Linked DNA regions of Saccharomyces cerevisiae S288C. Changing the gene in region 3 together with the main gene of any one other region gives a genetic interaction. Each region holds a gene or a part of one and is shown on either strand. Other genes may lie near its edges.

Region 1 (3,563 bases), on a different chromosome or scaffold from region 3:
CACAACATTGCCCGTAATGGAATTGGAATTAGAATTAGAATTAGCAGATGGCTGGTGCGGAGTCATAATATTCGCTTGCAACTTCTGTATTAAAGGGCTATTTGCTAACGACTGGTAGGGACTCGTAGCCGTATTGGTTCTGTTCCAGGGTTGCTGCAAACGATCATTCTGAGCATCGGTTGGTAAACTCTGTTGTGTTCTTGCTGCAGATACGTTAGAAACAAATGGCGAGGCGGCCAATGTAGAATTATGTTGTGAATGTTGCTCCGAAGGCGACATGGGGTTTCTCATAAGTACCCTGTTTGACGATTTCAAGTTTGATGTGGCTTTTGATGACTTGTAATAATGTGTAGCCTTTCCACAAATAACGATATAACAATGACAGCAATAAAGACAAAACTTCATATCATCTTTAACGATTAAGATAAATTATTTTATATTATACATATAAACTAACTTTAGTACGCAACAATTCTGAGCTGCACGCATGTATAAGGCGTTTATTCAAGTTCTACTGATACTTTACTCTTCTTCAATTGCTTCCGCTTCTTTTTATTGAGTTTCTTCTTCTCACCAAACATTATCTTCTTTAATTCTTCGGTATCACTTTCCACCTCACTTTGGTCACCTATATCAGCTGTTTCAGCATCCCTCTTCTTCATTGTGTTGTATTTCTCAATGCTTTCATCGCATAGCGTTAAGCAATTTAGCCTTTCGCCACAGTCGTAGACTGCTACTTGTTCTTTTGTAGACATATCCCATACGACAATTTTACCATCAGAACCAATGGTGACTAGGTAGGTACCAAATTCATTCGTATAAAACTTGAAATCTTTAATACGGTTTGTGTGACCCAATAAAGAAAAAGCGGGGCTGATATCCTCCTTGTCGTCATCATCTTCCTGCTTTTCATTTTCTTCAACTTTTTCGAATAACTCCTCACAAGGATAGAAATGAACATTACCATCGCTGATACCAACAGAAAGGTATTCCTTATTATCGAATGGTAAAATATGTGTTTCAATATGCATAAGAGTTTTCCTTTGAAAGACTATTTCTTTAAAAACTTTAGCCGATCCAGTTTCATAAATAAGCACCCTATCCCTTAAACCCACGGCAAAATAATCACCTTTGGCGCCTAACCATCTAACACAAGTCCCGTTTGTATTATATTTTCTTAGTTTTAGTACAGCAGCATTTCTTAGAGTCATCAAATTCCAAAGACGTATAGAATGGTCATCACTAACACTGATGGCAATTCTATTGGTGGGGTGAATATCCACATCATTAACCCTTGCCGTGTGTCCCTTTAAAGTCCCCACTGTTTCCCAGTCCTTTACTCTCCAAACCATAATTTTGTGGTCTTCTGATGCTGATAATAACCATTTGCTATTCTTGCTCCCCTTTGAAACAGCAGCATCCTCACTGGAAGAAGCTGGATGTGAGAATTGTAGAGCAGTAATAGAGCCCTGATGACTTAACAAAGTACCCAGTTCCTTCCTCTTTTGCAAATCATAAATTCTGATGTGCTCGTCATTGGATCCAGAAACTAGGTATCTTCTTGAAACAGCCAAACATTTAATACTCAACGAATGGGCTTGAAAATGAAATATTGGCATAAAATGTGGTGTCTTTGCTGCATCATTTTCCTTTTGATTTGGGATATCTAAGGATAAACACAAAATGTTGTGCTCGTATGAGCCCACAATGATACGAAATTGGTTCTTGTCGCCTATAGCACTCATTTTTCTACACGAATTCTTGACTTGGCCCTTAGGATCTTTTCGAGATGAGGTACCATGAGTTTTCAATTTTTCATGTTCTAAAAAATTTTCGGCCTTGATCTTGAACTTTATAATTCTAAGCAAAAAAAAAATGAAGACAGTATAAGTAGTATTCAGTAACATAAAGAAGATAAAATTCAAAAATGCAAAATAATAAAAAATGAATCTATATAGTGTAAGGATTATGTAGCTAGAAAAATGTCTTTAATTGACTCGCATGTCGTTTAGAATGTTATTGTTTTGAAACTTCGATAACTGCATTTTAAAAGAGGTTTTCATCCTTTCGTTGCCTAGTAGTACCTTGGCTAAACCAATTCTTAAATATTCCTGAACAATTTTGGATAAATTATGAAACATATCATCATCTTTCCCCAAATTCGATAATGTGAAACATAATAAGAGTACTAAAGTTAAGGGGATCCAAAAGAATAGGAGCATCTTATCATTCTGAAAGTTTTGCTTCTTGGAAAAGATTGTGTTGAACCCGACCTGTAAAGCTTCTAATTCATCGTCTTCAGAAGAAGTTTGAGAATCATCCACGGTCATTTGGGCAGAATTATCTGGCCCAATCTCCACAGATTTGCTACCAAGTTCCCAGTTTTTGGGTTTTTTTGGGAACAAGTCTTCATACTTTGGGAGCTCGTCATTTAAACGAGTTAGCATTCTGTTCCATAAAGATCCGTCAGGCTCTATGCTAGTCTTAGTAGTTTTTGGTATTTCATTTGGCTTTGAAGAGAAGTCCTTGATTTTGTGGGTGTTAAAGAACTCCAAAGCAATCTCATCTGAAGATGATTCACAATCACTTATGTCATAACCTGAATCCGAATCTAGGATTGAGAATGACGTATTGTCATTACAGTTGGATTGTTCGGGGGCAAGGGCAGCGGAATCCGCCAATAAATATTTTCTTTCTTGGACATAGTCATGATCAGCATCGTCATCATCAAATAAACTTGAGTTGAAACTTGACTGGGATACATTTCTCTCAAACGGTTGAGTATCACTGGATCCTGTTGTATTCTTCGTTAATCTAGTCAGAATGTCGTCAAACAGACTGGTTTCATAATTAGAATATCTGGTCTTGTTGACAGTATAATTCATCAGGAAGAACTGTTTAGCGATAAAGCCGTTTCTGGTTTTCTTCATAATATTAACGTTGCATTCTAACAATAGTCTTATAATTCTCAAGTCACCATTAATACACGCCATATGTAGCGGAGTAAAACCAAATAAATCTTGGTCGTTCAAATGCGACCCATATTTGATTAGTAATGAGACAAGACTATACCAGTTATTGAATGCTGCCAGATGTAATAGAGTTCTACCCCTAACGTCACACATGGAAAGATTGACGGTAGAGAGATTATTATTTCTCTTAAATGACTTAATAACTTCAGTGATCAATTGTTCATCGTTTATATTTCGCATCATATTCGTGTACGAATTTAAAGAGCTATTCTGTGAGTGTAATCCTGCGTTATTATTAGATGGAGATGAATCACTGCCAACAATCCTTTTAGCAATATTTCTTGCATCTTCCAGTTTACCGTTCATTTTCAGCCCCACAATTTGCAGAGCCAATTCAATTAGTTGCCTATCAGTATCATCAACATAAGTAAAGATTGCTTTCTCACCGGTATACTTGTTTAAGTGCAGAATGTCATTGGTACTATTGCTGGTGGAAACACTACTATTGCTATTATTTCTCATAGACGTTTCACTTGGGTCGACTATGGTTACCAAAACCGGTCCAGGTTTAGATGAAGGCGGTAAATAAGT
Region 2 (2,840 bases), on a different chromosome or scaffold from region 3:
TGATGTGTTGTGTTTGTAGTAGTTTTCTTCAGCCGAATTTGAGAGCACAGATAATATCAATAACATTGTAATGGAATGCACTTGGCTACTATGGACCTTATACATGAGAAAAATTTAGTCCATTATGAGTATCATCATAATGCGTTCAATAATATGACTTAAAATCAAAATCAACTTACTAGTATAACGTAACCGAAGACCCCTCCTTATTTTACCCTCATCGAACACTGCTGTTCTATTAGCTTTCAGTCAGATCAGGAAATGTTATGATTTTGTCGTTTTGTTTAGCTACTTTTGTTTTCTCAAATGTTTATTCTTTTTCAAATATTATATGTATAAAAAGATTCACCGCACCAACACAGAAAGCAATCAGATAGCAGGATTCAGTTTGAGACGGGAAGTAGGCAACTATACGGAAAGGAGAATTCTGCAGCCTATACAAATTTTATTGTATACTTTTTTCTCACAATTTGCTTTTTTCAATAGGAATAATCTCAACTACATGAAAAAATGCCGTAAATATTAATAAACAGTTGAATTTTTCTTCCAAAAAACATCATTCCATCGTTATAATTACATTATAGGGCCGGGAATAATTGAATTATGATAAATGTAAACACCAGTCCGAGAATCATAAAAATGAAAACAGTAATATAAAACAAGTAACTCAATTTACTCTTGTCATATTTCCTTAATTTACCGCTAACATCCATTAAACCTTGAGAAGCAACTTGAATACCTATCTCTGCAGCTCCAAGAACTTGCTTATCTTCATCAAGTGCTGATTGAAATGCCACAGCTCCTTGCTTCAAACTGCCCACAAGTTTGCTCATATCCTGAATCAAATCCTGTTGCAACGTGTCCTGGTCCTCAATTTGCCTATCGACTGATTTCGTAGTTTCATATCCTAAACCCTTATTCTGTCCCTTCCCCAACAATCTCTTTCTCAACTCCATAACAGCTTCGCTATCTTCGTTTCTATCAATAAACTCCTCATTTGGGTATTCTGTTTGCGATTCCGTGTCAACTGCATCTACAGAATCTAAATCGATACTATATCTTCTTGTTTTTGAACTGCTTTGGTACTGTTCGTACTGTGACTCCATTATTTTGTGGGCGTCATGTTTTGTTTGCAGATATTCAAATGCTTCTCTTTGATAAGTATGTTGATACCTCAAAAACTCCTCTGAGACCTTATTGTCGTCACTTGATCCCAGTTGTTTTGTAACTGCTTTCCTTCGTAGACGATTCAAATTAGTTAATTGTTTGCTACTCAAAACGTAGGACAGAAAGGGGTCGTTGGAAGTTTCAGCCATCTTGCCTTGCTATTATGTGTCCTGTCAACCTTTTTTTATTCTCTGTGTATGTTGAAATTGTATTCTACTTTATAAATTTAGTGGTGATAAAGTGGTGAAGCTTTCCTCCGGCCATATTTTATATATACTGACCTACTTTAGGGAAGAAAAACGAACAAATCCAGACCGACATCTGTAACAGGTATCGGTCAGTATCACGCTCATATGACAAGATATAGGGAGCAACTACATGCAATCACTATACGTACGTAAATATACTCTCCTATAAAAAGTAAATATATGAGAAAAATTTCCGCCCATCTACTATCAAACTATAGACTGTGGGAATACTCAGTCATTGTTAGCGAAAAAAGGCGGGATAGAACTTATTTTAGGCATCTTGAGCTTATTTCTTAATGCGTGGGAAAAATTGTAATTTGTGAAGCTTAAGGATAATCAGACGGAAAAGCTAGCTTGGATCCAAGAAAAACTCCCGGTAACCAGGCCAGCAGCCCCTAAATGGTCATCCACTAACACAAATTACTTGAACATGTTGAAATGTGTTGAAGAGCCATGATATTTTTATTTTTTATTCGAAAGAAGAATTAAACTGAGGAAAGAAAGAGCAAATTAATAGAGGGCCGTTTTATAATATCTCTAGGACTCAAAAATTCTTCCAAGAAAATTTGTCCGGGTAACGAACATAGTTTTATTATCTTAGGTCTATTCTCAAATAACGCTGTCATTAATTGGCGAGATGAAAAGATAATAGTACACAGTTTTTTTGAGAAGATATATGTTAGTTACCGCTAATTATTTTCAATGCTAAAAACTTTGCTTTTCGCATTTTTACTTTTGTTTTTTTTGTTATGTCTCTTACCAGCTGAACTATTTTGAACTTTGTGGAATGGTGTACTTAATCTACCTTCGACGTTGTTCATCTTGAAGAAGTCTCTATCCAAGTCCTCAGCGGCATTGTACAATGCAGCTTGTTTACCACCGTGCGTAACAGATTTGGCTTCTTTTTGTGTGTCACCACCAGTGTGAGCTGAAAACGTTAGCTGATTCAAATCACGAGCTAAATCCACGATATCAATGCCTTTAGCCTTAGCAGCATTTTGCACTTGCTCCTTTCTGGTGTCCGGTAATCTGTCGAACACATATAAATCTTTGTTAAATTCTTCACACTCTTCTCTAGTGTAAGGTGTATCATCCTCTAGATGGGGCGGAGGGTTGACATACAGTAATTTCCCATTGACGTAATCTTTCAATATATAACGACTTGCTCTTGGTTCATCAGCAGAACCGTAACCTTGAGTCATATAACCACGAGCTCTGGCGTATGCGACTAACAATTCTTGAGCAGTTGGTATATCCCCATTCCCACCTTCATCCCTTGATTTGGTTTGAATATGGATACCATAAATCGCTTCAATGTAATACTTTGGTATTCTTTCTGCTACTAAACCTGCTGGACCAATATAATCACGTAATTGATCAATAGGTAAAACACCATTACACACGAGCTCACCCTTGTTATATGCA
Region 3 (2,398 bases):
AGTACTATGCAGAGTAAAATGAATAGAACAATCACATATGACCGTATTTATACGTGTAATTAAAAAATATACGGACCATGTAAATAATAATATTATAAAATGCAGACAATGATGATGAGTATAGTACTACAGTAACGTCCTTCATTCATTACCTTTACTAGCAGTGATAAAAAGTTTTGAAAAAAAATGTGCTCCAGGGGAGGTTCGAACTCTCGACCTTCAGATTATGAGACTGACGCTCTTCCTACTGAGCTACTGAAGCTGTCTGTTATGGAGGATTCTAGCATTAAATGCTTTAATACTCAATAAAAGCAACAATGGAGAATAATTTATCAGCAACTAAATTTATAGACGAAGATCCTACGCCAAATCTTAGCTCCTTTATATTTAATATTGAAAAACATATGAATTTTAGGTTGAATCCTCAAAATGGAATTGATATTTCTACATAATAGTACTACGATTATTCTTCACTCTGTTTTATATGTGTCATTATGTTATTACATTATCAATCCTTGCATTTCAGCTTCGTCTAACTTCCATGACAGTTTCTCATACCTTATGTCATCATCTAACACCGTACATGATAACATACTGGTAGTGTAACTACTAGTTGATAGATGATAGTTCATTTTCATTCCAACAATTGTCGTTAGAGATCGCTACATAATCAACCTTTGCACTTCAGCTTCCATTAAATCTGATTAATGCTTCTTAATCTTTAAGCCATCTTCTTGCACCATAAATAGCAATGAAACCATTTAGTCTTCTATTTTCCACTTAAAGAACCAGGTTTTTGCATTTCAGCCATCTTAAATTAGACGACGGTTTAATTTCGGTGTAGTATCATAAAATTTCGGCCATCCTTCGACTCACGTATAATGATGGCCTCAGCGAGAGGATCAGCAACAAGTTACATCCACAATAATACGCGGAGTTATGAGATATTACAGTACCCTCCCCAAAAATATAAGGTTTACCGCAAGATCGTATCAGGAGAATGAACGGGTCTCTTAGTTTTTATCCACTATTCTTTCCACTCACGCCAATATACTAACCAATTGAAATGCTCATAACCAGAATGAACAGGCCGCATGCATTCTTTAGCCAACTTTCGATGAAAATACCCACTATGCAATGGTAAATTTCCGAAACAAAAAATTATACTTCAGTGTTCCCACAAAATAACGATATGTTTCTTTTCATTTTTCAATGAAAGCATGATTTTTTCCCTTCCAATGCCAAAATGCTAGTCCTATAAATGAAAAAAAAAGCTTTCTGCTATAAGAACAGCAAGGGGCATTTCAACTTACACATAATAGAAGGTGAGATAAAGACCATCGTGAATCCTAATAGAAACTGCGGGTTTCTTAGGATCATGGGTCGCGCAAAACCGCCAAGTTTACCATCAAAAAGCTACAAAGTTCAATTTACCCAATAGAATTCTAACGCCAAAGATTTGTAGTGATTCATATGAAATTTTCTTTATGCATCCAGTTATTACTATTGAGTTTCTCTCAAGATACATTCTCCAAAAAAAAAGCCTGTTCTCGCACAAACGACCTTAAGAAAGGTTTAAAACAGCTGTCACATTACATTATAGTAGATAAAAACACGAATGGCATTTTCTTAACTTGCAGGTGTACTCTCTATAGCATGTTTAACATATTTTCACCTCTTTATTGCAAACACTTTGGCGTTTCATATTCTGTCCATGTATATGCACCACAATGATTTTATTTTCTTTTGTATGCATTTTGTGACGATTTGACAACTGATGCATCATTTCGTTCCATCTATTTCGCTGTTCATGGCTTCTGTCTCTTTCTCTGTCTTTTTTAGCCATCTCGCAACTAGCTGGGAATGTTCTTTTTTCAGATCCGAGAGTTTTTGTTGTAAAACATTATTTTCAATGGTTCCACTAATCAATTCGTCATTCAACCTTTCCGTATTCTTATTTTTCAACGCAATAACTTCTTTCAATCTTCGTATTTCTTGCTCCTTACTTTTCAGTTCTTTTTGTAGAATTGCCAGTGTATTCAATAAAGCATCGTCATGGCTGACAATGTTGCCACCAATGGCGCCACTATTATCTTGAAACAACTCATTTAAATGGGCCTCCTTGTCGTTTCGATCTGTTAGTCTACGAATTAACAAATCATCCATGCTATCTGTTTGTGGATTGCTTCTTTCCTCCTTTGCTTTCTTCCTTTCTGTTATAATGAAATTGCCCATGGAATATGCGCCCTTAATACAGATTCGCGCAGGTTAATAACAAAAATCAACGTTAAATAAAGGTCAACTACAAACAGAATAAGTAAAAGCGAGCAAGTGTAGTAGCAATTTAGCACAACATATAAAACGCTATTATAATGGATGTTGTGCAGCAGAAACAGGA
Region 4 (2,805 bases), on a different chromosome or scaffold from region 3:
ATTGAGAAATAATGCAATCTTGAAGGGCAATCACATATTTTTTAGAGTCATTAGTTGGTGTAGTCGAATTCTAATTATAGAATTTAATTCAATAATAAAGATAACGCTATATCACTTGACAAGAACTTAGCATGTAACCAGATGAGTTATATTTGATAATACTTATTATTATTTTTCTGAGCTATGTCTGAACTATTAGCTTCCATAAAACCAATCAGCGCGTATGTGGTGTGGTGTGTGTTTTGTACCTTAGTTTTGTTTTTTTTATAAATGTATTCGAGTTATTGTTGAATGTGGTAACCCAAAAGCATGATATGAGTAATGTTTTAGTATTGTTTCAGAGTTGTTTCAGTAATGCTTGAGACAAGGAAAACATATAGTAGCAAACCTCTAATCCGGTAGTACTTAAGAAACTATAGTTTCTATGTACAAAAGCAGTAACTATGTAATTATTACATTTACATAACATATAGAAGGGTCCAATAAACTTACTACATTATGACATATAAACTAGATCGTAATTCACTACGTCAACAGTTCTTAATTTCGGGTCAGTCAATTCAGCGACAGGCGTAAAGCTTTATCGACCATCTCCAGTGTTCTGAGCACCGATATGCTCGTCATTACAATAATTATCTATACCACCGTAAGTGTTAAAATATATCTCAGACTTGAATGCCGAACCCGTGCCTGCACCGTCACCAGGTATGTCATCGTAATCAAGTGGCTCACCGTTTTTCGTGTCCTCAGCAGCAAAGCAGTATTTCCAATCCCTATTACCTGAAAAGAAATTCTGTAACTTCTCTTCAGCATAAGAATCAAAATTTCCTGCTCCACCTTCGTCATTCTGCCAGTTCTGTGCCAGGTCACCATAACTCTGACTATATGTCATTGATATCCATGAGGTGGCGAACTCTTGACTGCGTCTCTGTAACGATAGGGCCGAAGCGTTGCCACTTATATCAGGTACCCCTGGTACCGCTGCCACGATTTGATCGATGAGCATGCTCACATTATGTACGCTACTCGTGCTGATGTGGGTTCCATGCTCCGTAGTATACCCCACAAAGTTGATCTCAGCAGCACCGTCACGTTTAATAGTGTCATGTACTGCATACCCACTAAACTCTATTGTAACAAAATTACTACCAGTACCATTAGACAATGTTTGCCCATTGAGCACATGATCAGTGAGTGTTATAGTATGATTCAGTACATTAATAGTCTCACTTAACCCTCGCTTTGTTGCTGAGCCAGAACTCTTTCCCACTAAAACTGCTGCAACTATAACTGCTGAAGTTGCTAAAACAGCACCAGCTATAGGTGAACATATTCCGCTAGTGGATGCGATACAGGTTGCTGCGACCCAGTAAGGAGTAGCATAAGCGGCTGCAGCAATTAAAAATCCTCCTAGTCCTAATCCAGTCGCAAATGATCACCTAGCTCGCCGTACTAGAGCAGCAGTGTTGGCGCGGTCAGGTATAGCTCCAGTTCTAAGTGTGCTTAAAAATAATGAGTACGCTACCAAAAGCAGTGCAAAAATTATTGCAAACAATCTAACGATTCTAAACGTCCTTGTTGTCAAGTAATTTGGAGGGCTGCTATTCATGTCGTCTGTGTATGATCTATTCATTTTTTCATATATTTTTTTCTATTCTACATACATTATTTGGGATTACGATACAGTGTTCCAGAATTGTCACTTTATATAGATTTGTTACAATGCATGACACTTGCCAAAATAATCAAGCCCAATACCTAAAATTTGCAAGCGCGCCTTCAAAGAATGGCTCCCCGCTGATTTTTAAGAAATACTACTTTTATAAAAAATATCTCAAAACACCTTAGTTTTTTCCTATACACTTCTTCTATTGTTTAAAGGCCCTGACATTCTTGGTCTCCAGGCCGCTCAATATGCTTCGCACCACGGTAAAAGGCGGCTGCACATGTGGTAAGTCAACAAGGACTCTTTTCACTAATTAGCATGGTGTGCTATCACATGTCATCAAGCTTTCCATGAAATAAACCATTGATTGTAAGAGAACCACCCAACAAATCAAATCAAGATGCCAATCAAAGTTACAGACTGCGTCCTTTTTCCGCCAATTGATCTAAAACAAAATCTAAAGTCAGTAAACATAGAATTTCTGTCATTTTGCGTTTTTTCGACAAATACGCGCACTACCCTGAAATTATTATCATGAAGATTACTATATTTATATTTAAAGGTTAACCTCGAGTTCTATAATATTATGTCATACAAGCTCATTATGTTAGAAAGCGAGTTATGGAGGTTCAAGTTCAGATGCCTTGGTTTGGTTTACTAACTAATATTTGAAATTCTTGCTAAATATTTTCAGTACTCCAAAATCTGAATATTTCAGAATTTCATATCCAGACCCATTCTATGAGCCAAAGTAAACCCCGTGTACTTTCAAAAGCAATGCTACTCTTCCCAAAATAATATAATATATATATATAACTGATACATATAACGTGTTGGAGTCGTATAGTGTTACAGTCCATGATTATACTCACCTCCCAGTGTATTCGTTAATAGAACTACGTAATTGTAAGCCGCTGAAAAATAGCTGGTGTTGAAACAACGAAGACCTCACCTCGATGATACCAAAATTATTAAGAATAAATATAATGAAACTTGTTTGAAAAAGAGCGGGAGCTCTGCTAGATGGAAGAGTTGCGTACAATACTTTTTTTTGAAGATGAGAAAACACTGGCTAAGGTAAAGCAGGTTTCCTGTAAAAGCTGCTAAACCGTCTTTCACGGTTTTGTAATCAAAAAGGC

The links.
Region 1: mutations in YMR158C-A (region 3) and MAK11 together harm fitness more than expected from each alone (negative genetic interaction), as found in Saccharomyces cerevisiae (one large-scale study listed by BioGRID).
Region 2: mutations in YMR158C-A (region 3) and USE1 together harm fitness more than expected from each alone (negative genetic interaction), as found in Saccharomyces cerevisiae (one large-scale study listed by BioGRID).
Region 4: mutations in YMR158C-A (region 3) and YER187W together harm fitness less than expected from each alone (positive genetic interaction), as found in Saccharomyces cerevisiae (one large-scale study listed by BioGRID).

The regions. Positions count from the first base shown.
Region 1 is NC_001143.9:396,844-400,406, forward strand, and holds MAK11 (Mak11p), read right to left. Parts: upstream 1,908-3,563; coding exon 501-1,907; downstream 1-500. Other genes in the region: anaphase promoting complex subunit CDC16, read right to left, coding at 1-405; SPT23 (Spt23p), read right to left, coding at 1,989-3,563.
Region 2 is NC_001139.9:315,818-318,657, reverse strand, and holds USE1 (SNAP receptor USE1), read right to left. Parts: upstream 1,317-2,840; coding exon 579-1,316; downstream 1-578. Other genes in the region: ribosome biogenesis GTPase LSG1, read right to left, coding at 2,105-2,840. UniProt on the Saccharomyces cerevisiae protein: SNARE required for targeting and fusion of Golgi-derived retrograde transport vesicles with the ER.
Region 3 is NC_001145.3:572,694-575,091, forward strand, and holds YMR158C-A (uncharacterized protein), read right to left. Parts: upstream 639-2,398; coding exon 501-638; downstream 1-500. Other genes in the region: mitochondrial 37S ribosomal protein uS8m MRPS8, read left to right, coding at 1-22; ATG16 (Atg16p), read right to left, coding at 1,783-2,235; CVM1 (Cvm1p), read left to right, coding at 2,373-2,398.
Region 4 is NC_001137.3:564,431-567,235, reverse strand, and holds YER187W (uncharacterized protein), read right to left. Parts: upstream 1,007-2,805; coding exon 581-1,006; downstream 1-580.